2 linked regions of the Struthio camelus genome follow. The protein of the gene in region 2 purifies or fractionates together with the protein of the main gene of each other region. This does not show direct contact. Links are inferred from orthologs where the notes say so. Each region holds a gene or a part of one and is shown on either strand. Other genes may lie near its edges.

Evidence for each region. Proteins that work in one complex are often made in the same cells at the same time.
Region 1: the proteins of MYH9 (region 2) and GSK3B purify together in Homo sapiens (affinity purification with western blotting; 4 studies listed by BioGRID, with this or other methods). This does not show direct contact. The link is inferred for Struthio camelus from reciprocal best matches to the Homo sapiens genes MYH9 and GSK3B.

Annotation. Positions count from the first base shown.
Region 1 is NC_090942.1:93,115,980-93,126,344, reverse strand, and holds the start of GSK3B (glycogen synthase kinase-3 beta), read right to left. Parts: upstream 4,141-10,365; 5' UTR 2,801-4,140; coding exon 2,713-2,800; intron 1-2,712. UniProt on the Homo sapiens protein: Constitutively active protein kinase that acts as a negative regulator in the hormonal control of glucose homeostasis, Wnt signaling and regulation of transcription factors and microtubules, by phosphorylating and inactivating glycogen synthase (GYS1 or GYS2), EIF2B, CTNNB1/beta-catenin, APC, AXIN1, DPYSL2/CRMP2, JUN, NFATC1/NFATC, MAPT/TAU and MACF1.
Region 2 is NC_090942.1:59,382,923-59,393,442, reverse strand, and holds the start of MYH9 (myosin-9), read right to left. Parts: upstream 3,983-10,520; 5' UTR 3,810-3,982; intron 1-3,809. UniProt on the Homo sapiens protein: Cellular myosin that appears to play a role in cytokinesis, cell shape, and specialized functions such as secretion and capping. Required for cortical actin clearance prior to oocyte exocytosis. Promotes cell motility in conjunction with S100A4.

The DNA of each region.
Region 1 (10,365 bases), about 34 Mb from region 2:
AGATGAAAAACCTGCTTGCTCTCTCACATGTACCCTGAACCAAAGAACCCATCACTGTACTTCTCCAGTACCTCTCATCCTAGATAACCCATGAATCGGTGAGCCCTCCACTACTTCATAAGTCCCTCACCACCATTTGAATCCTTCCTTCCCACATAACCATTACTGTGCCTAACTAGGAGCAGCAATACCTGTGCAAATACCAGAGCAAAACTGACCTGATCGCTTCATTCCACTGCTCCTCCAGGCTTACAAACACAAGCAATGAAGCTGACATCAAGCAAGTCAGCTTTCAATCCCTGGCAACTTGGAGAAGACCTGCACCAAGACAGAGGTAACTAAAGCTGACTATAGGACTCAAACTGAACCATCAATTTTCATCTGCTTCACAAGGATTCTTTCACTCCAGCTTTCACTCAAAAGGGCTGAGAATATCATTAAAGTATCTATCTATATATAAAAAGTAAAAAGCAAGAGCCAAGAAACTCCCTGTTCACCATACAAGTGATTTTTTCCAAGCACTCAATACTGCTAATAGATGACTTGCTACATCATACCTTAAGATGCTACCAGAACTCACGAGACCCAGACAATTACCACTGTTTTTGGCACCTGGCAGCATCACTGCTCTCTCACAAAAGATTTTTTTTTTTTTTAAATCTTAATTTTCTGGACTGTCTTACTTGGATAGTTTAATTGAAAATATGAACTGTATTTCCCACAGAGTCCTTGTATGTGGTTCTCTTGCTTTGTTCTGACATTTTTTTCCAGACAGCAGAAGGAACAGGGCACATGACTAGAGCGATTGTGGGGGTTATCACAAGTGCATGTGCTTTATGCTACGGCCTTTGTTTCTCCCTCAGTGTTATACACTTGGGATTGAATCAAATTTGCAAACTTGTTAGTCTGCATCGGTTAGCACCCTCTTCATAGGTAAGCATCTGTCTAGTCTTTGACCTCAAATAAATGGGAAAAGAGTATCAATGACCTTTCAAGAATCAAGCTTTAAAGCTGGAATAAGACAAATATAGTTTCTGAGCGTGACAGGTCTAGGTCTGGCTTGGTTTAAACAGAACCACCTGCAGAAATATTGATCAACAAGACCCGCTTCCTATGCCACATTCACATAAAGTGAATCAATAAATTAAAATGGAGTCATATACAGATTTTCCCCACAAAAATTAAAGAGTCTTAATACACACTAATGCTGGATCTGATCAAACATACACTCTTATGCTGCTAATATGGATTAACTGCACTCCATGTTTTTCTAAGTACTGCAGGCACTCTGATCATGCAGATACAAGGTAGACTACAAGACCCCAAGCCCAATGCTCTCTTCAAGGCTTCAACCGCAGTAGAAGACATTTCGGTGCAGAAAAATGCCAACATTTCTGGTATGTCAAAAGCTCACAATCACATACAGCTTTGGCATGAGATGCCCAAAACAATATGATACACACACACAGTGCTGTCAGGTGTGGCTATACACAAGCATCAAATAAATCGATTGAACAGTAATGCATACCAAGCATTCCGCGTCCCATAATGATGCCACCCTCTATTTCCACAAGAAAAAAATATATACTTTTGAGAACTATGCTAGTAACACGAACCTGCAGGAACAATTCAGTTGTTAATATGAACATATTCAAATCAGGAGCCAACAAATTCTGTATTGCGGACACGTAGCTAGTCTTTCATGACTCAGAATAGGGCCTTTCTCCATTCACACCATACATTTGTTAATATTTAATACACATTTCCAATTCGCACGAAATACCCAATCCCACTGGCTAGAATATGAAGGATGGGCACATATTAAATACTTATTCCATCTACAACACGCCTGTGCAGAATAGAGCATAGGCCTCGTTCTTAAGAAAAATTCCTCTGATCAGAAAACTGGAAAAGGCATACTGAGCTTGAAATAACTACTCCATAGACTCACATGTCATATTAACGATTTCCTCATCCCCTCTATTGAGCATTTTAGCAGAGCCTGATTCGTATTACAGAGAGACATTTTAGTGCAGCCCACAAAAAAAAAAAAAAGAGAGAGAGAGAGAGAGAAAGAAAGGCTTACAAAAGGTGCTCACACCCGATCTACAGCTGCCTGGAAAAAAATCTACTAAGCTTTCTCCAGGAGAACCAACAGTTATACAAACGTATACTGAACATGAATGTCACGACCATACCTACGGGTCCGTAATTCATTTCCTCCTTTCACAGAAGGAGGAAAAAAAAAAGCCTCTAGAGCTTCCAATCCATTTTCCAAAGAAATATTCTTTTCAATTAGCCAAACGGGCGGCTCACAATATTAGCAGAGACAAGAGGCTGTAGAAACGGATAAAACAAGCGATATATACATATATATATATATATATATTTTTTTTTTTTGGTTAAGCAGGCCCCAAACGAAACCATGATGTGTGCCTATTCAAGGTTAATGAGGGGGAGGGAAGGGGAGAGAAAGGGAGCCGCCTCATCCAGGGCTAGAGGCAGCCCAGGACTCTGCCACTGCCCAGGCTCCGAGCCACTGCGTTACCGTATTTACCGAAAGATATACATATATAAAATAAATACGTATATATATAAATATATATATATATAAATTGAATTATAAAAATTAACAACCCCCCCCGCCACCCCCAGGACGAAACACCGCGGCGGGCGCCCCGCAGAGGGTGCGGGCGGCGAATCAATACTCACGGCTAACTTTCATGCTGCCGAAGGCCGAGGGCTGCTGCACCGGCTTGCAGCTCTCCGCAAAGGAGGTGGTTCTGGGCCGCCCGGACATGGTCTCCGTCGCTTCCTCTGCCCCTGGTCACCTTCCTGCCCCGCTGCCGCCGCCGCCCGCTTCGCTCTCGCCCGGCCGCAGGAGGCGGCTCAGGCCCGCTGCATTCAGCTCCCGGCCCCCCCTCTCCCCCCCCCGACCCCCCCCCCAAAACCCGGCCGGGGAAGCCCCCTGCCCTCTGGGTCTCGTCGCGCTTCTCGCGGCTCCTCCGCCTCACGCCGCCTCCTATAAGGACATCCTCGCCGGCAGCACCAGCGGCTCCGAGCGCGGCCTCCACCCAGTCCGCAGCGCCCCCGCCGCCGCCGCCGCTCCTTCTCCCGGCTGGGAAGCGATGGGGGTTTGCTAGGCCTCGCTGCCCCCACCCTGAGCGCCAGTCACATGGGGCGGAGGCTTATGGCCGGGCTCCTCTGATCCCGTCCGCCGGGCTTTTCTTTCTTTTTCTTTTTTTTTTTCCTCCCCTCCTCCTCCTCCTCTTCCCCCTCCCCTCTCCTTTCCTTCCCCCTCGCCTCTTCGGGAGGCAGCAGGGAACGGGACTATTTTTCCCCGGCGGAAGGATCTCGGGGCTCCCGGATCCGCCGACAGGAGGTGATGCGCCCCGCTTGCAAGGGGATCCGGCAGGGGCGGTGGGATCCGCGGCGGGCGGAGTAGGGGGTGAAGCGGCCCGGGCGGCCTCGCTCGCTCGCTAACGCTTCTCAGTGCGGCGCTGAGGCGGCGGCTCCGGCGCGGCTCCTCATTGCGCCCGCAGGGGCAGCTGGCGGCGGCTCAGGCTGGGGAGGCTGCAGTGCGGGTGGCGGCCGGAGGCGGCGGTGCAGGCCATGACGGCGGCGGCGGCTCCCCAGCTCCTCGTCAGCCGGCTTCAGAGCGCTGGCGGCGACGGCGGCTGCTGCTGCTGCTTCCCCGGGCGTCCAAGGCACATGGGACTCGCCCGCCCGGCTAAAGGCTCCTGCCGCTCCCTCCCGGCGCCGGCTGCCTCCTGCCGGGCCCCCTTCCCCGTTCCTGCCGATCAGTCCCTTTGTCCCCGCTGCTGCCTCCGCTGCGTGCCGGGCTCCTGCTGCTGCGCGCTGTGTGTGCGCCAAAGCCGCGCAGCCGCCTATGCGCGTTGCCGCCCTACGCTGCGGAACGGCCCTAAGCACCTTCTGTGAATACCCAGCCGAAGAGCCCGACGCACTCGCCAGCCCCCAGCCCGAGGCCCTTACGGAAACGTCCGAGCCTCCTCGGGGCCAATCCTGAGGCCGCTACAGAAATGCCTCTAACGCCTCGTAACCAATCGCGGAGTCGTTACGGGCGCAGCCGAGTCTCGCCGAAGGAGAGCGCAGACCCAATCGGCAATTGCTGCCGCCGCCCTAGCAGCGCGATCGGCGAGCCAATAGGAAGAGGCCCTCTCTTCCGGCCATTACCGGGCCCACCCGAAGAGAGCCGAAGCGGGAGAGCCAATGAGGGGACGCGCTGTCGCCCTGGGACGGTTTCAAGCCGCAGCCTGAGGCGGAGAACGCGTCCGGGCTCCGATTGGCTTCCCCGGCGGAGGCCTCTGATTGGCCGGCGGGGATGAGGCGGCCCGAAGACGCCATCCAGCTGCTTGCGCGGCGCCAATCCGCAGCCCGGCGCTGCTGGCAGCCTCCGCTCCCACTGGGGCTCGGCGGCGCCACCTCCCAGCCGCGCGCCCCGCCTCGCTCACCTTTATGACCTCACTGGAGGCGCAGGGCGGGGCTGGGGGGAGGGGAGCGCGCGTGCGCAGTGCCGCCGTCGCGCATGCGCAGGGAGGGGGCGTCGCGGCCTGGTGCGGCCTGTGCCAGCACCTAATCGCCTTAGCTCGTCTGAGCGTCCTGCAGTCATTTTATCCGCATTTTATCGGCCTTGGTGCCACCATGAGCGGGTTTGGCTTGGCCTTGCCCGGAGTCCCAGGCGTTTATCGCGACGCTCTTCGGGAAGGGCTCACGCTCTTCAGGGGTCTTAACGCGTCTGTGGGGCAACAGCTCCCGGCCCTGGCAAAGCCGGAGCTGGAGCACTGCTGCCTGCTGCTGTGACCCCAGGAAAATTACTCAGCAGACCTCAGCCAAAACTGAGAACCTCTTCCTTCTACCACTAGGAAAAAAAAAAAAGTACTTGCCAGAATAGTTTATACCACCAAGAAAATAACTTGGACTGGCAGAAGCATTTTCTTGCCAGTGTTAAGACTCTTAAATTTAAGAGCTGCTTCTTTCAAGGCATAAGAGTGCTGCCAGAGTCTTTTACTTTTTTCAGTCCTTCTCTAAACGGCATTGCTACATGAGCAAGCAAAGATCAGGCCAGAGGCAGCTGACGTTTATCCTTTGCAAGAGCTTTGTTCCAAGGCAAAAAACAAGCTCACCCTCTCAAAACGGTCCTGTTCAGCACTCCGCTCACCCCAGGGTGCTTGGTTTGCCAGAAACCTTTTCACCTTCTGATAAATGATACGTGATTTTTAACTATCGCGAAGGACCTAGGACTTTTTAGGGTTTGATTCTTCATGAGCTACCTGCACAGCTCTGTGCAGCTGGGAAATTAAAATTCGAGGGTGGCGTGCCTTACCAAGGACTGAAAGAGACAGTCTGAAGTCACCCCCAAACCACCCGGCCTCACTCACCACTCTAGACCCCTCGGATACACCACTATATTGAGCGTTGCTCAGCCACAGTCTCCATAAGTCACCAACCACAAAAAAATGACACGTTCTCTCCTATTCTGGTACAGTTCTTCACCCCCTACCAAGACTACTGGGGATGGAAGGCGAAGAAAGCAGGGGACAGCAATTTGGGCTACAGATTGGGTTAGTTCTCTAATATAGAGTGATCTTAACTCAAAAGACAAAGTCAATATGCAACTGGGCAGTGTCCAGCTTTCTTCTACCGGAAATGAACCATCAGATGTTCCAGGCATGTTTTAAAGCAGAGCTTGAAATCGCTTTTTAGCCTTGAGCACCAACACCAACACAAATCACGTTTTCTTATATTCTGATGAAGTTCTTTCAAAAGACCACACAAATAGTGGAACTGACCTAAGAGAGACCCTAAGCTTTGTTGTTTGACAAAGCAGACAGTCTGAAAAACGGCGGCAGGGGTAGGGGGAGTGGGACGATGATCTCTTTACATTAGCATTCATCATTACCCATAAGACTATTAAATAAAAATCACATACATTAGCCCTTTGCCGCATGTCTTTTAAAACTCTCTGACAAGTCTACATTCATAAATGAAACATCACCTTCATTTACTTATGGAGAACAAGGTTAACTCGGGAAAAAAAAAAAAAACAACCCTTCATGGTTGTACTCCTCAACATGGTTTATCTCGTCCCTACCAGTTTCCCCTTCAGTACCAAAACAATCCATATCAAAACCAAAACTCTCAGTTACTACTAATCTCGCTTTTCCAAATCCCAGCCCTATCCATCCACTTGGGGAATGTACACTAAAAAAATCTCAGCTGCCCTGCTTCCCCTTAGCCAGTCCTGCCCACATTTCCAAGTAATTATTAACCAATGAACTCTCCAAAACCTGTCCACTTCAGTCAGAGAGTTTTCTGCTCATCTACCTTGAAACCACACACATATATTTAAAGGAGAATTGTTACGTATTTGAAGACCAGATAAATATCATCCCTTTCCAATTTCTGTTAGTTTTTTTTCATAGACTATTTCCTTAGTTAAGACTGCTATCAGAAAAACCATAAACACATGATAAGGGCATCTGTTAAGCCTTCATTCTCGATTTCAAAACTGTACTAACAGTTAAAATCATTTGGGCAAATCATGAGTGAGCTAGTTGCTCTTTTGGATTGAAAGGTTCTCTTTTGACAACATTGCAAATTTCATATTTATGTTTGACCCCTTGGCTGATGAAATGACCTCCCTTTACAATCTGTAAATATAAATAGAATTGACGTTTTAATGATCAGTTTTCACAAGCAAGAATAATCCAGTGTCCCAGACATTAATATTGTTCCGATCTGGATGGGAAAGACAGCTTTATAGTTGCTAAAATGCAAAATTAAAGCATTTTTTTGGTAGCATCCAAGTTCTCAGGGAGGGTACCTGAAAATACTGAGCGTCTGATAGAAATTACTGAAGTGTTATCTCTCTAAAATGCCATAAGGTGGCAGTGAATTAGAAAACTGGTATTATTTTTGGACAGAACAAATCTTTAAAAAGCTTGATAGCAGGGGGACATTTTTTGGTCGATTGGTTCGTTGGTTACATTTCATATATCGTGCGGGCACATGCAAGACTCCAGCCTGAGCCGGGGCCAGAGTGAGAAGTGTGACAGAGTCTGCTGGCATAAACATCAAATCCAGTCATGTTAAACATACACGGAATAGTTCTGCTCCAACATGCATTGGTAGTAAGCAGATATGTTGCTGTACAGGGAACTCCTGCTTTTTCTTTCTCCTTTGCTTCCTCTGTGGGTACTCAGCAGAAAGACTTTCTGTTGCCTCTTTGTTTGCTTACCATGCAGCTATTACTGGGTCATTCCAACATATGCCACGGTGAGAGGGCAAGAGGGTAGTGTTTTATACCTCAGTTAGGCTGATAAGGATGCAATCATTTAAGGTTGTCTTGAACTTTGAAACACTAGTGAATTAAAAGAATATTAATGGATATACTGGTTTTGCATCTATTTCCCTAGTATTGCTGAGGGAGTTATCCAAGAAACAATTTAGCAAGATACTGTAATGGCTTTTTTCTGGTTTAATTGGCATGGATAAACCCAATGGTTATGGTTGAACTTTAACTTTTCTTTTTTCTTTTTTTTTTTTTTTTCCAGTGGAAAATCAGAGATTGTAATAGTAACAAATTTACCGACTGCCCAGGCATTAATGATTAGACAATAAATCCTGAAAAGTGGTTTTGATTTTTGTCCCAGAGCAAAATCCAAATGAATCTATGTTTAGAAAGTACTAGTTGTGTTTATTCTTCTGAGCAGGACAGAAGTTTTTAATCTTGAGAACCCAGCATTTTGCAATGATTTCCTGTCACAAAATGTCATCATTGACAATTGCTTCAGAGAACAGCTGATGTTTTGCTGATCTGAATGTGCGTGGGTGCACTTAGGCCTTGTAGGACTCCAGGTATATTTGCTAAGATCAATGGAGCCAAGTGGTCTGAACAGTTTAATGTGACAGGAGCTGTGGACAACTTCCATTTCCCAATTTGACAGCGCGGTAGAACAAGTACAGCCACAGCATACAGGTTCATGGGAATGTTATGGCACATGGAAAACACCAGTGACTCACTCAGGAGGCAAATGCATTCTCCTATGGAAGTCCCCACCACAGATGTTCTGGACATGTTTAAGGTTGTTCTTAACCACTGGCTCTTGAAAAAGCCATCATGTTTCATACTGTGCCCAGAGAGCCTGTTACTCAGTTTGGCGGTTTCTTCTGCTCTGTTATTTGTTTGGCCACAACTTATTCATAACTAACCCTGAAAAGACTGCAGTGTCCAGAGTCAAGAGAAACTGTGTCAGTCTGAAGAGCCTTTAACAAGTATTCAAGAAATGTGTCCTCCTGAACACAAAAATGATGCCTATGTCCCAGGAGCTCAAAAGAGTTCAAATCTAGAAAATTATTGGGCTCTTTGTGTGTATCATCGCCTTCACATTTGATTCAGTCAGGCAGCCCCAGAGAGATGTCCATTTGCTTTCCACTTGTATTTTCCAGTGCTGTCAGCAAGTCAGTCTGTTTCTGCAGTGAGGATACCAAAGAGCAGATGAGTCATTCTTCTAGCAAGAAATTTAAAATGACCCCCATTCCCCAGGGTTTACCAGGGCTCTCCATACTGCAGTATGAGTGAAAGGGCCCATAAATTTTCCACACTCACTGCTTATACTATTTTCCTACCTCCCCAATCAACTTCCAAAGTGGCTATTGAGGAGACTTTCTAAATACAAAGAGTTAAAGTCGGCCTGATCCCTGAGGCCTTCCATCCATTCAAGAAAATCTTTTCAGTTTAGGAAGACTTGGCTTGAGATATAGGATAAGGACAACTCTTGGCCCTTGGTAGATGTGTGAAGGAGGTTACGCTACTGCCCTGTGAGTAGAAACTCATTAGGACCTTGGTACAGTGACTTGGACAAGTGGGAGAAAACACATGATGGCACCATCCCAGAACCACCTTGGGCAGATTGGCATGGGCAGGGGAGACAGCTCAGGCTAGGTTTCCAGGTCAGCATAGCAACGTAGAAGTTTTACAAGGAGCCAGGCACAACAGCCAACAAAGGCAATTTTTCTCCACTTCCTCCTCCAAGCAGCTGGGGGATGTTGCGCCAGGGTAATGAGATTTACCGTGCCTTCTCAGAAATACAGGAAGAGGATGCGCTAATTCCTACTGAAACAGTCTTCAGAAAGAAAACATTACGTACAATGCAAGGTGCCAACAGACTGAGAAAGGGCCACTGGGAATAGATATCTGCGTTGCAAGAGAAGCTAAGGAAGCAATGATGAGCCTGGTGAAGCCTGCCTGGGATTCTGGCCTCGCCGCAAGGGCTCTCCACAGAGTGAGATTACAGTCGTTATGCAATGAAGTGTACGTCCAGCCCTTGCTGTTGCAGATGCTTTTACCCTAACTGAAAATAACTGCAGGGGAAGGGGATCCCCCAGGACTATCGGCTCCTTGTGGGAGAAGGGGAAGACAACGCCTGATGGGGTAGAGCCTTACATGATAGGAGTGAGACAAAACTCATATCGTTTCGTATGTTGGAAATACAATTCACTCACGTCTGCAGAGAGGAACAATATACACCTGGGTACTAGCAAAAAAGCCATGGTTGAACAGAGATATGACAACTTGGTCATTCTACATACATCAGCCACAGGAGTGAACTTGCAGTGTTGTATGTGGTATCTATGAGCAGGGGTCTTCAGTTTCCAGCCCAGAATTAGAGCTGGTGATTCCCCTCAGTTTCATCCTAGGTAAAAAGGTGTCGGAATGGGGAATAAATGGAACCAGTCGGCAAATACATAGATAATTGTGAAGAAGCCAAAGTACAACGGTATTGTCATTCCCCCCCACACACACTGAGCATTTGCCAAGCATAATTAATTTAATGATCCCTGTCTCGGGCTCCTCACTAACCTACTTCACACTACTTCCTTCATCTTTGGCTTGCAAATGGTTACTAATTGTTGCTGCATCTTGCATTGTACATCTGGTATTGACAGCTGTTGTTGTCCTGAGATGGAGAGATAGCTGTTTTTTAAAGGAGAGTTCTCTCCCAAATCTCTAAAACATCTGGGGAAATGTGGCATTGAAACTAAGTTATCAAATATGAAAAACTATCAGATATGTGCACAGGCTAAAGGGAAAGGGTCTGGAGACACCAAGCTTAAAATTAGGTGCAGGAAACAGAACGGGAGAGACTCACTGTTGTCTCCTTAAAGCATGAGTTCTGGGTGTTCTCCATAAAAAATACCTATTTCCCCCAATTCCCTGTTGCCTGCTTGATACGGCAGAATCTTTTAGACTGTGCACAACAGAGCACACCTCATAATTTGATCAGGCCATGTTGCTTTTGCCTCTGCCTGTTAAGAATAATTCAAAAGCTTTTCTACAAGGAA
Region 2 (10,520 bases):
GACACCCACAGTGAAGCCTGCGCTGCGCACTTAAATCTCTCCCTCTCTGTGCCACTATGTGCCCCAAGGCCCCTGTGCTGTCCGGCTGCGCTGCGTGGGGTGCAGGGACCTCACAAGGGAAGTGCCCCAGCTGCGCGCCAGGATGAGGGCTGAGCTCAGCGAAGTGGTGCACTGCCTGCCCACACCAGACACCGCAGCTCCCCCCTGCCCCCCTCCCCCCCCCCCCAATCATGCAATCCCCTGCCTGGGTGCATCATCTCCTGCAGGATCTCACATGCTGAGAGAGAAGAAAACAAACAGCCATTTTGCACATGGCTGCTTATCTTCTCCACTAGCATTTTGTTTTGCCCTGCTAAGCTTTTTCATTTCTCCTCCTACCCCTTTCCTTGTAAATAAACTCTCTCAGTTGAAGAATGAAAGTGCTACCCTTCAAAGCAAAGAAACTTGGGCCCTTCTGGCCCACAAGCTGCTTAAAAAAGGCACATAGACATGTGAGAAACTGAGCCAGAGCCCTCCCTCCTGCAGCAGTTTACTGTAAAGCACATGCATAGTCTCAGATGGGAGGCTTTACAAACTCTGAACAGTCGGAGGCAAGGACGTCGGGGGCAGAGCACCTGAAGAAATCAGACTTCAGCGCATCCCTGAGCAGACACATGGGAAATGCTGCCTTCCTGGAGCTGGGGTGGGGAAGGGAGAACTGGGAAGCACAGGCAGGAAGAGTCTGGCTTGGGAAGGTGCCCAGTCTCACACAGAGCGGGGCAGGTAACGATCAAACGACTATTTATGGCTCTTTTGCTTTGTGACAACTGCAGCCTTATATGGGCAAGAGAGCTCCACTGCAAGCTGAGCTGCGGAGGTGGAGCCTCAAGGGGCACTCCTGGCGTTTGCTCCCAGGCTATGTGCCTGTAAAATCCACTGACCTCCTTCCTGGGAAAAACCCTGGGAACCCTCTCTGAATCCAGCTGTTTAAATTTCAAACTAGAAAACGACCCCTCCCTTTCTCACTCATACCTCCTACTAGCTGGAGCTGTGATGCAAGAGAAACGTCTGCATTTGTGATGTAGCGGGTTTCAGGGAGAAATGGGTTGGAGAGTCACCAGCATCGGCCATGGGAAACCTATTCCCATCTGGTCGTGATACTACTGAGAACCGGAAGAAAAAAAGAAAGGAAAACCAAACAAACAAAAAAAAAATCCCAGTGTTGTTTGTTGGACACAAGTGAGTGTGTGAAAGGCTGCAGCTGGCAAATCTGGTGCACAAACTGAGTCTGTTACAGATCCTTTTGCCTCTGAACATGCTCCAGAGTCCCCCAAAAACTCTGGCAGAGCAGCCAGTGTACGTATTGGGTTCTTACACATTTCAAGGCTGTTCAAACCATTCAGCTGAATTGCCCTAGAAACTGGTTACAAATAAAACCAAGCATAAGCATGCTAAAAATGTCACTGTCATCAGATAAGGCTGCTATGCACATACCATTCCTGACACAAGCTCATTAAAGCTAGGACATGAAAAGTTAAGCCACCAGATCACATGTGTATGGTGGCTGGGGTGGGGGAGTATGGTGAGCAGGGCTTCAGACTGCATTTTTCTTTCTGGGCCTGCCACCAGTCTGTAGGGCATCACCCCTGTGTGACTCAGTTTCCCTCGATGGGGAAGAAAAGAGGGATGTTGCGGCACCCACCTCCTTTTGAGATGTCGGAAATGCTTTGGGAAGCAACAGCAGATTGGGAGGCAAGGGATTAGCCACTCTACTTAGGAGCTGTGAAAGGCTGGTGTTTCAGAGGACAGAGCACACGCTGACTGCCAGCCCTCAGAGATCCTTACCAAACAGTCATACTTAGCACTCCAGGAGGTAGTTATCTATATTTTATAGGAGCGGAAACAGCAGCACAGCCAGCTTCCTCTATAATACAAGTCCCAGAAACACAGGGCTGAGTGAGCTAAATGCTTACCACATGGTCTTACTATTGTCAGATACTCAGGTTTAGTCAGAGGTACACAAGCTGCCAAATTTAATGAACTTCAATACCATGTACAGAGCTTTTATGGTTCTCAGGCCAAATATTTTAAGAGGCAAGACAGAAAGCATCCAGAGGGTGCAGGAGTTATGGGAATGGTTCATAGGTAGGACTCCTGTCCTTCCCCCCTCCCCATGGGAGGCACCAAGGCCAGGCACACACAGACATGCACTGAGACCCAAAGGTGTTGGCCACAAGACACTGACTGGCTCGTGTCCTCCTGTAGCTGTGATTTCAGATTACCCTGCATCTTCATCTGCTGTGTCCCAGCACAGCACCATCTCTCCTGAGCTTACCACAACAGCCACCTGGAACTGCTCACAGGTGGCATATGGCTCAAGAAAGAGAGGCTGTGCACCCTTTCCTTGAGACAAGTAACTTGGATTAGGTTAACCTAGAATGATGGAACGTCACATTCCTTCTCACCCTAACAAAGATCAGGGCTGTTGTTTGATGATTGCTCTAAGCCAGCTCAAGTTTGGGCAGCCCCCAAAAGAGGAATTCCCCTTCCCTCCTATTCTGCTTCCTCCTCCAATATTCGCACTCCCACTGCCAGCCCTAGATCACACAATCAGCTGATTGAGCTGGAAACAAATATAAACCAAAAGAATGAGAGATGTTTCCAGCTGGATCACTTTCTTGGCCCAGTTGACTAGCTAGGTGCCAGAGAGACGCTGGGAAGGCACATCTGTGAGAGGGATTATTCAGTGGCAGCCCAGACATAGGCTGGTCAGAAACAATCAGGGAATCACAGTCCAGGAGAAACCAGAAAACCCCTTTTGCAGTGACACCATGAATGAATTCACTCCATCTGCACAGGGGTCACAGGGGTTGTTATAGCATATCAGATGCAAGTGGTTGTGATCAGCCTCTGCATTAAGGAAACTCTGTTGTCAAACATGTAGGACTGCCAAAGTCATAGAGTCATTTAGTGCGGAAGGTAACACTGGAAGTCTCTAGTCCAACCAACTGCTTGGAGCAGGGCTAGTTTCAGAGTTAGATCAGAGTGCTTCACCAGGTCCAGCCGGGCTATGAAACCAAGCATGGTGATTCCACGATCTCTGTGTTGTTGCCTCTTGTCCTTTCGCTGAGCACCTCTGACAAAAGTCTGACCTAGCTTCTCTATCACCCGGCTTTGGGTAGTAGAAGGTGGTTAGATCCCTTCCCCCTCCTAACTTTCTCCTCTCTAGGCCAAACAAACCCAGCTACCTCAGCCTCTCCTTATAGAGCAGATGCTTTAGCCCCCTAGCCAGCTTACTGGTCCTTCCCCGGAGTTGCTCCAGTTTGTTAATCTCTTTCTTTCAAATGCAAAGGACCATCCTGAAACAGCCTGAGGAACTGTCTGTCTCACTTCCTGGAGAAGAACAGGTGTCTCCACCTACCTGTATAAGCACATATCTTTGTGAGTGCATTTGTTGAGGTGGGGGGGGAGGGGGGTGTACACAGTACCCGTGTTCCTGTGTGTGCATGCTAAGTGTGTTGGAGGCATGGTCACACAGTGAGAGCCAGTGCACCTACCTATCACGTAAATACTGTCTCAGAAGTTCAGCTAATAAAAGTGGGTGCAAATTCACTGAAGTTTGTGGAGCCATGCTGGTTTCTGGAGCAGAGTTTTACTGCACATACACTGCGTGAATGCCTTCTGTGAGTGCACCCAGGGACACCTGTGTATCATCCTTCTCCTTCAGTTGCTCTGTACCCTAGCAAACATGGATCCTCCTTCCCATTGTTACCAGAGAAGATGTTTACAGTCAGGTCTAAATCTGGTCAGGTAGCTTCTCAATTACTCACCTCTCAGTTATTATTCTGCTTCAGTAACTCTGAGGCTCAGGGAAACAAGGTGTACCAGGCAGTAGCTAGGACTGGAAGACAAAAGGCAGGACGACAGAAATCATGTTCTGCTCTGGCGATGTTGCCGGAGGGCAATGCATCACTGCCATGATGTCATAACTGTGAGGCACAACCTTTAAAGCATGAAAAAAAAAGAACACCCATTACTCATGGACCAGACAAGCATTTTGAAAGGAGGAGACTGAGAAGGAAGACCTTTACCTGCTTGCTGCCTAGGAACGATGGTAGGCAAAATGACGTATGATTGCAAATCAGTGGTGCCATTTGCAATAGCAGGATCCCCCCTGCACAGACAGAAGAACTGCTAATTGTAGCCTGATGTGCAATCCCTCTGGAGTCTTCATAAAGGATGGGAAATGGGGAAGGTTGAGAAGAGCTCTAGGCTCTGGATCGGGGAAATACATGGCAAAAGGGACCGAGCAGGGATGCAAGACCTCAGATATGAGGCTACCAAATAGGTCATAGACGTGATCTGCAGGCAGGAGGAGGGAGGCAAGGACAGGGCATCTCTGCACTGTCAGCTGAGTGTGCAGCTCAGCTTCCGCCTTACAAAGCCAGAAGCTCTGTGAAGAGGTGTACCTCCCCAGATGGAGGACCTGAGGCACTTCAGTGCAGGCCAAACTCTTGTTTGTGCAGTCTGGACAGATTAGGCAGGGTAGGGCCAAGCCCAGACCAGTAGCTGCCTTGTGTAAGGCACGGGCATGGGTCCTGCAGTGCTAAGTTACAGACCAGGGAAGAGGCAGCAACAGAAAGAGAAAACCTGAGGGTGCCGGTTCTCAGCTGGCCACATCCTTTCCTCATTTTGGAGCAGGAACATAGCCATCAAGCCTCTGTGTTAAGGGTCTTTGGTGCTGCAGTCCCATGATGCTGGAATATTTGGCAGAGAAGGATGAGGGATACTGGGTAAAGACCTCCTTGGCGTTCAGAGCCAAGCCAGAGCTGTGGACTTACAAAGAAGAGGAAGAAAATAAAAGAGGTCTCCTATGGGAAACAGAGATATAAATCTCTGTAATGAAGGGTGAGGTGCTCAAAGGCCTGGCTCAGTTCAGAGCAGGTCAAAGTTTGATCCTCAGCTATAAGAGATTATTACAGAGGTATAATACAATACATTTTTACTAGAAACCAAGGACAAAAACCACTGACTGTTCACATCACACAGCTCCCTTTAGCCTGCAGACAATTTGGGGGGCTGCCTTAGGTAGGCAAAAGGAGGTCTGGTCAAATTTGAAACATTGAGCTTGTTCCAGGGGTCAGCATCTCCCACTGAGACCCTTTGGTCAATCCCAGAGAAAGGCATGGAAGTTAAATTCAAACTCAGCCCACCCCCTGCAGCAGCTCCACCTCTGGATCTACCAGGCCCAGCTGGGGTGGGATGGAAAGCCATGTCTGGTAAAGGACTGAGGCAAACTGCACCGTCACCACTGCTGGAAATAGGTCAGAGGATCCAAAATATGGATACAGCTACAGTAAGCCATGGAGACCTTGTTCTCTGCCCAGGGCAGGGTGGCCCATCCCTTCCAACTCCGCAGCTCAGCATATCTCACCGAGCTTATCTGGTCGCGTGCCCTCCTCCCTCCCCAGCCGTACCCCCAGGGCCAGACTTTCCTGCTTCACCCCAAATGCTTATTTTTATTATTTTAAAACAAACAGAGTTGTGTCTGTTTTGATTTCCAGATGGAGGTTAGAGGGAGGTCAGTGCTGACATCTGGGCTGGAGATAACATTCCCGTCTAATTAGCAAGCCCTGAATAACGAGGGCCTTCCTGTCCCATCCTCCCCCCACCAGCTCGCCCTGGCGTGGCGCGGGAGAGGGCAGAGCCAGCACAGACCAGCCCCTCTCAGCCAGGAGGAGCAGCCCCCTCAGACAGTTGGGTTCTCTCCCAGTGCCACGGGCCTCCACCAGCGGCTGGAAGCGGGGAGCTGCCGCCCTCTCCAGCCCCGGGCGGGTGGCTGACAGCGGGCGGGTGGCCCTCCTTCATGCCCAGCCTTCACCGCCCTGTCTCCAAGCGCTCGGACGGACACAGTTTTCTGAAGCGCTCGGGACGCTGATCTTTTTGCTTAGTACAGGGGCTAAAAGGGAGCTGATCTCTGGAAACGCCTGCCCTGAAGGCGTGCGCAAGCAGGAAATATCTGGTTGCGTGCTCCAGCAGGGCAGGAGCCCCAGCGGCACAGGGAGCTCCGCACAGCCCTGGCAACGTTGCAGACAAGGGGCAAGAGCCTGACAGGCTTTCACGGCCTGCCCGACCTGCCGCCACGCAGGAGGGAAGCTTTAAAGGTAGAAGGATCAGCGCCTGGATCAGCGGCATGTTTTTCCAGCGCGCATCAGGTCCTAGGGCCGGCTTCCCTGGGCTTGTTGCCAGCCACCCGCAGATCCTATTGTCTGGGAAGAGCCCATTCACCTTTTCTGGAAACCAGAGGTTACTATTGTAACCAGAGGTCACTACTGCTACCCTTACTGCTGTACCAAAGTCAATGTGTCAAGAGATGAGATCAAGAGACATCATGTTGGTGGGAAACACAAACGAAACGTGCAGTGGGGTCCCCCTGTCATGGCTAAGTGATCCTCTCCTCTCCCTTCAATCTAGCTAACCATATATTGGCACCTCCGTCCCAGAATCATACCATTTATCTGTGCAGCGCAGCCTGCAAGGGTGACATGATGCAGCTGTTTACTTGTGCACAGCAATACCGCAAACCAGAAGCAACCATGGCAAGAGCCAGTTTTGGGGCAGAAGAGCAAGCAGGGTGGCTGCCTGGGCCCCCAGGCTATGCTCTTAGGGACAGGGAGTGAGAGAGGAGGGCTGTGGATAAGTTGGGAGACCTCCTGACTTTCTCCGGCCTCCTAGAGTCCTCTGCGAGCACGTGAGACCCTGGCACGTGGGGCTACAACGTGCTGGGAGAGGCTGCAGGGCAAAGCCCCAGCCAGCAGTGGTGGTCTCCGGCCAGGCTCCTTTGGGCACAGGGCCCTGTTATCTGGCTGCTTGCTGCTGCAAAGCGATGGCCCATCTCCCCGCATGGCCAGATGGAGCGAATCAGTGGACCGTGGCTCATGCTGGCCAGTTTTGGCCAGGATGCTGTACTGGGGGTGGCAGTGCCAGGGAGACCCATTTTGTCCTCACGCATGGGAGTAGGGAAGGACTCCAGCCTTCACTTTTTGCCAACCAGCAATGTGGGGGTGGCCATGGCCTCGGTTTCCTGCTGTGCCTGAGACATCCCTCCCCCCCTACCGAAGCACAGCACAAAGATGCTGGAATAAAGCCTGACTCAGCCACGAGAGAGACTCCCCAGCTGAATCATGCCGGGGCTCTGAGCTTTCCTTGCAGCTTCCCCACTGTGGGCTGACTGTGCCCAGCCAGTGCTTGCAAAACCCCATGAGATCATGGATGCAAGCGAATGTGGAGAGGGCTGAACCTCAGCCAGGCACTCTCTTCTCCAGGTGAGATTGCAACACCTGATGCATCTGCTTGATGCAAAACCTCAGCCTCCGCTGACACCCTTAGCAACGCTGGTGACATGCCAACCTGCCTGCACCGTCAGCTCCATGGTGGAGGGGGATTTAATGAGGGCAGACTTCAGCGCGCAGCCTCCATTGCTAGAAACGCCACAGCCTGTTGATTCCTCAGAGGGGATGTGACCTTCATTCCTGGCCTTGGTGTAAAACCCCATGAAGGGAAGGAAAAAAAGAGGCGGGGAAGAGGTTCAGGATTTAACACTGCCTCAGCTCAGTCTCAGGGCCCCAGGCTGCAAGCTAAAAAGGACAAGGCCGGAAACTGTGCCCTTGGGTCAGCCACGTGCTACTAGTAGCTGCAAGCTGGGCACAATGTTGTAGGGAGGTCTGGCATCATGAGGAAGCAGCAGAACAGGGAGATGATGGCAACCCTAGAAGTCTGCTCTTGGACATAGCTTCATGTTTCAAGTTTCCATGCTGCAGATTCTAGTGAGACCAACAGCAACAGGTCCCTCACATTCTCGTATCCTTTAATCTCAAGTGTGCTACCACCTTCTGGCCCCCTGTGCTATGCCGGACAGGTCAAAAAGATGCAAAACTTGCTTCTTCTGAGTGTCACTAAGGAAACCTGAATTGGGAAGAGAACTTGAGCCCAAGGTCAGAGAAATGGGAACAAGAACTAAACAGCGCCCAGATAGGTACAAGGGGGCTGGTGTGCTGGGCAACCGCATAGTTTAGCATTAGAAATGCCGTGGCAGGCTTGTGAGTGGTGATGTTTAATGTTGTCTGAGGTCTAGGGAAAATTCTCTGTGGTCCTGCCAGGATCTTAGGGCAAAGCCCATCAGACTTGGCCTGGCTGGGAAAGGGAAGCTGGATCTCCTCAGGTACTGTGTAATGGAAAAGATAAACCAAAGCATCAGCCCCTTGAGAGCAACCCGAGGGAGCAAGAAAGAAGAACTAGAAGGTTTTGTTGTGTAGTTTCCTGCCAAAAACTGACAAGACTGTAAAATCATGAGCACAGAACAATAAGGTCTCCTGTCCCAGCAGCTGCTAAAGCCATCACCTGGGGAGCTTCCTGCAATCAGCCAGTGGAAGGACAAAAAGCAGCTTCCACATGTTTTCCTGGAATTTGTCATATGTGTGATTAATACTCTGGTTAGTCCCTGCCATCCTCTCCTCCCCCAAGGTCGAGTGTCTCACCCTTGGAGAAGAGGATGTGGTTATTAAGACCAACCTCTCTTGAGGAGAAGGCTCATCTTTCAGATTTGCTTCTCCAAGCAGCAGGAGGTGCTTTTCTTTATGACTTCTGAGTCACCCTATAGCCTCCCTGCAGACAGTATTTCCCCTATGCCCCTACTTGCTGTGTGGGCACTGCTTGGACTTCCCCTATAACCTGGGTACCATTACTTCTCTATCTTGCTGTGCCCCAAAGAGACCCAAAGCACTCTGCAAATACTCTGGATGACATGCATTGCAGCTCCACTGCTTATAGTTACCAGATAGTTTTCATGATGCTGCCACCACTCTCTTTTCAGAGTCATGCCTTTCCAAAGCATTAGTTTCTTGGTCTGAACACTGCCATGCTGGATCTCTCCTCATGGATGAATATTTTTAGAAAGTTTGAGCTAAGACCATGCAGTCACTCCTGAGCTATGCCAGGGTGAAAAGAAAACAACCACTTTTGCACAAACAATACAGGCATGTAACAAAAAGCCACTGCAAATGGGATTTTTCAGCATCACTCAAAACTAGCTAAGCTTTGAAAGATGAAACTTGCAGTCCAAAATAAATAAATAAATAAATAAATAAATAAATAAATAAATAAATAAAAGGCTTCTAGTGAACAGAAAGGGTTTTGACAATTTACTTAAAAAGCCAGATTAAAGCAAAACAATGTTATATAAATACTAGAAGGCATGTCGCAGCTTGCATGCAGTACAACACTCCATTTACATCACATCTGCTGTGCTAGCCAGACCCAGAGCACTAGTTACCTGCTCACTGCAATGTGGCACGACCCGCTGGTTAAAGCAGCCTGTGAGGAAAGGAGCTCATCGGTTCCTGTGCCCACTGCCATGGGCCCCATGGGGAAGTGTTTTTGCCTTGGGGTGAAGCAGAATAAAGCAGCCTCAGGGACTGCAGCTCCTCTCCATCCCGAGCCCCGTGAAGCTACACGCACCATATATGTGGAACTGTTGTTTCGCTTTCTGCTCTGCAGGCACCAGGACAGAGCAGCTGTAGCAGCTCAGGAGGCCTGAGGTCACCATTATCTCCAGAAAACACCAAAACCTCTCCAGACAACTTGAAGTGGATGTTTTTTAGGACTGTCATTGCAAAAATTTCCTGTTTTTCAGTATTACTCAACCACTCCTCTGGTCAGAGGAGAGATGGAGCTGGGGGTGCCTTTAGCAGCTGAGGAACTAGCGGTGTGCACCGAGAAGGGTACCAGAAGCTCAATCTTCCCCTAAGAGGGAAGAGCAAACAGGCTGGGTCATAGATTTGTTCATCAGCAGCTACAGTGTGTGTGTGTGTGCATAAACATACATACATATATATATACATGTATATACATATGTATATATGCGTGTATATATATTCAGAGACATTTCTCCACAGAAGCTACATGCCCTGAAGAAAAGTCAGTCAATTTTAGTGCATTATTATTGTGGCTGTTTTGATTATCAGGGTCTGGGAGGTCCACACAGGTGGGCAGGAGGTTGGGTACTGCAGCCTCGTTGTCTGCAGCTGTCCACTCTCCTCTGCCCATGGGGATGAGCTGCTCCAGTGTCCCTTGCTCTGGCCCCTCTGTGTGGGACTGGTACCCCAGTCTCAATGCCCACTGGGGATCTCTTGCCACCAATGCACCAGGGAGGCAGTCACAGGGTTTCTCCTCACTCCATCCCCAAAGGGATGAGGGGAGCCACGTTTTCAAGCTCTCTCTAGAGGTCTTTAGTTTCCACCCATTTGGCTCGTCCAGGAGCAGAAGGGGACCACCCTTTCCTATCACATAGGTTTCCCGTGCTTCTCCTGGCTCCTTCCTTCCATAAAGCACTCAAGGTATTGCACAGCACTGAAGGGAAAAAGGCAACTGCTCCTTGCTTCTTCCTCTCTGAACTCAGCCCAGGGCACCAGCCAAGAAGTAGGGGAGGGAACAGGTATTGCTCAGCACAGCAACCCCTTCTGGCACCACACTCAGGCTGCAAC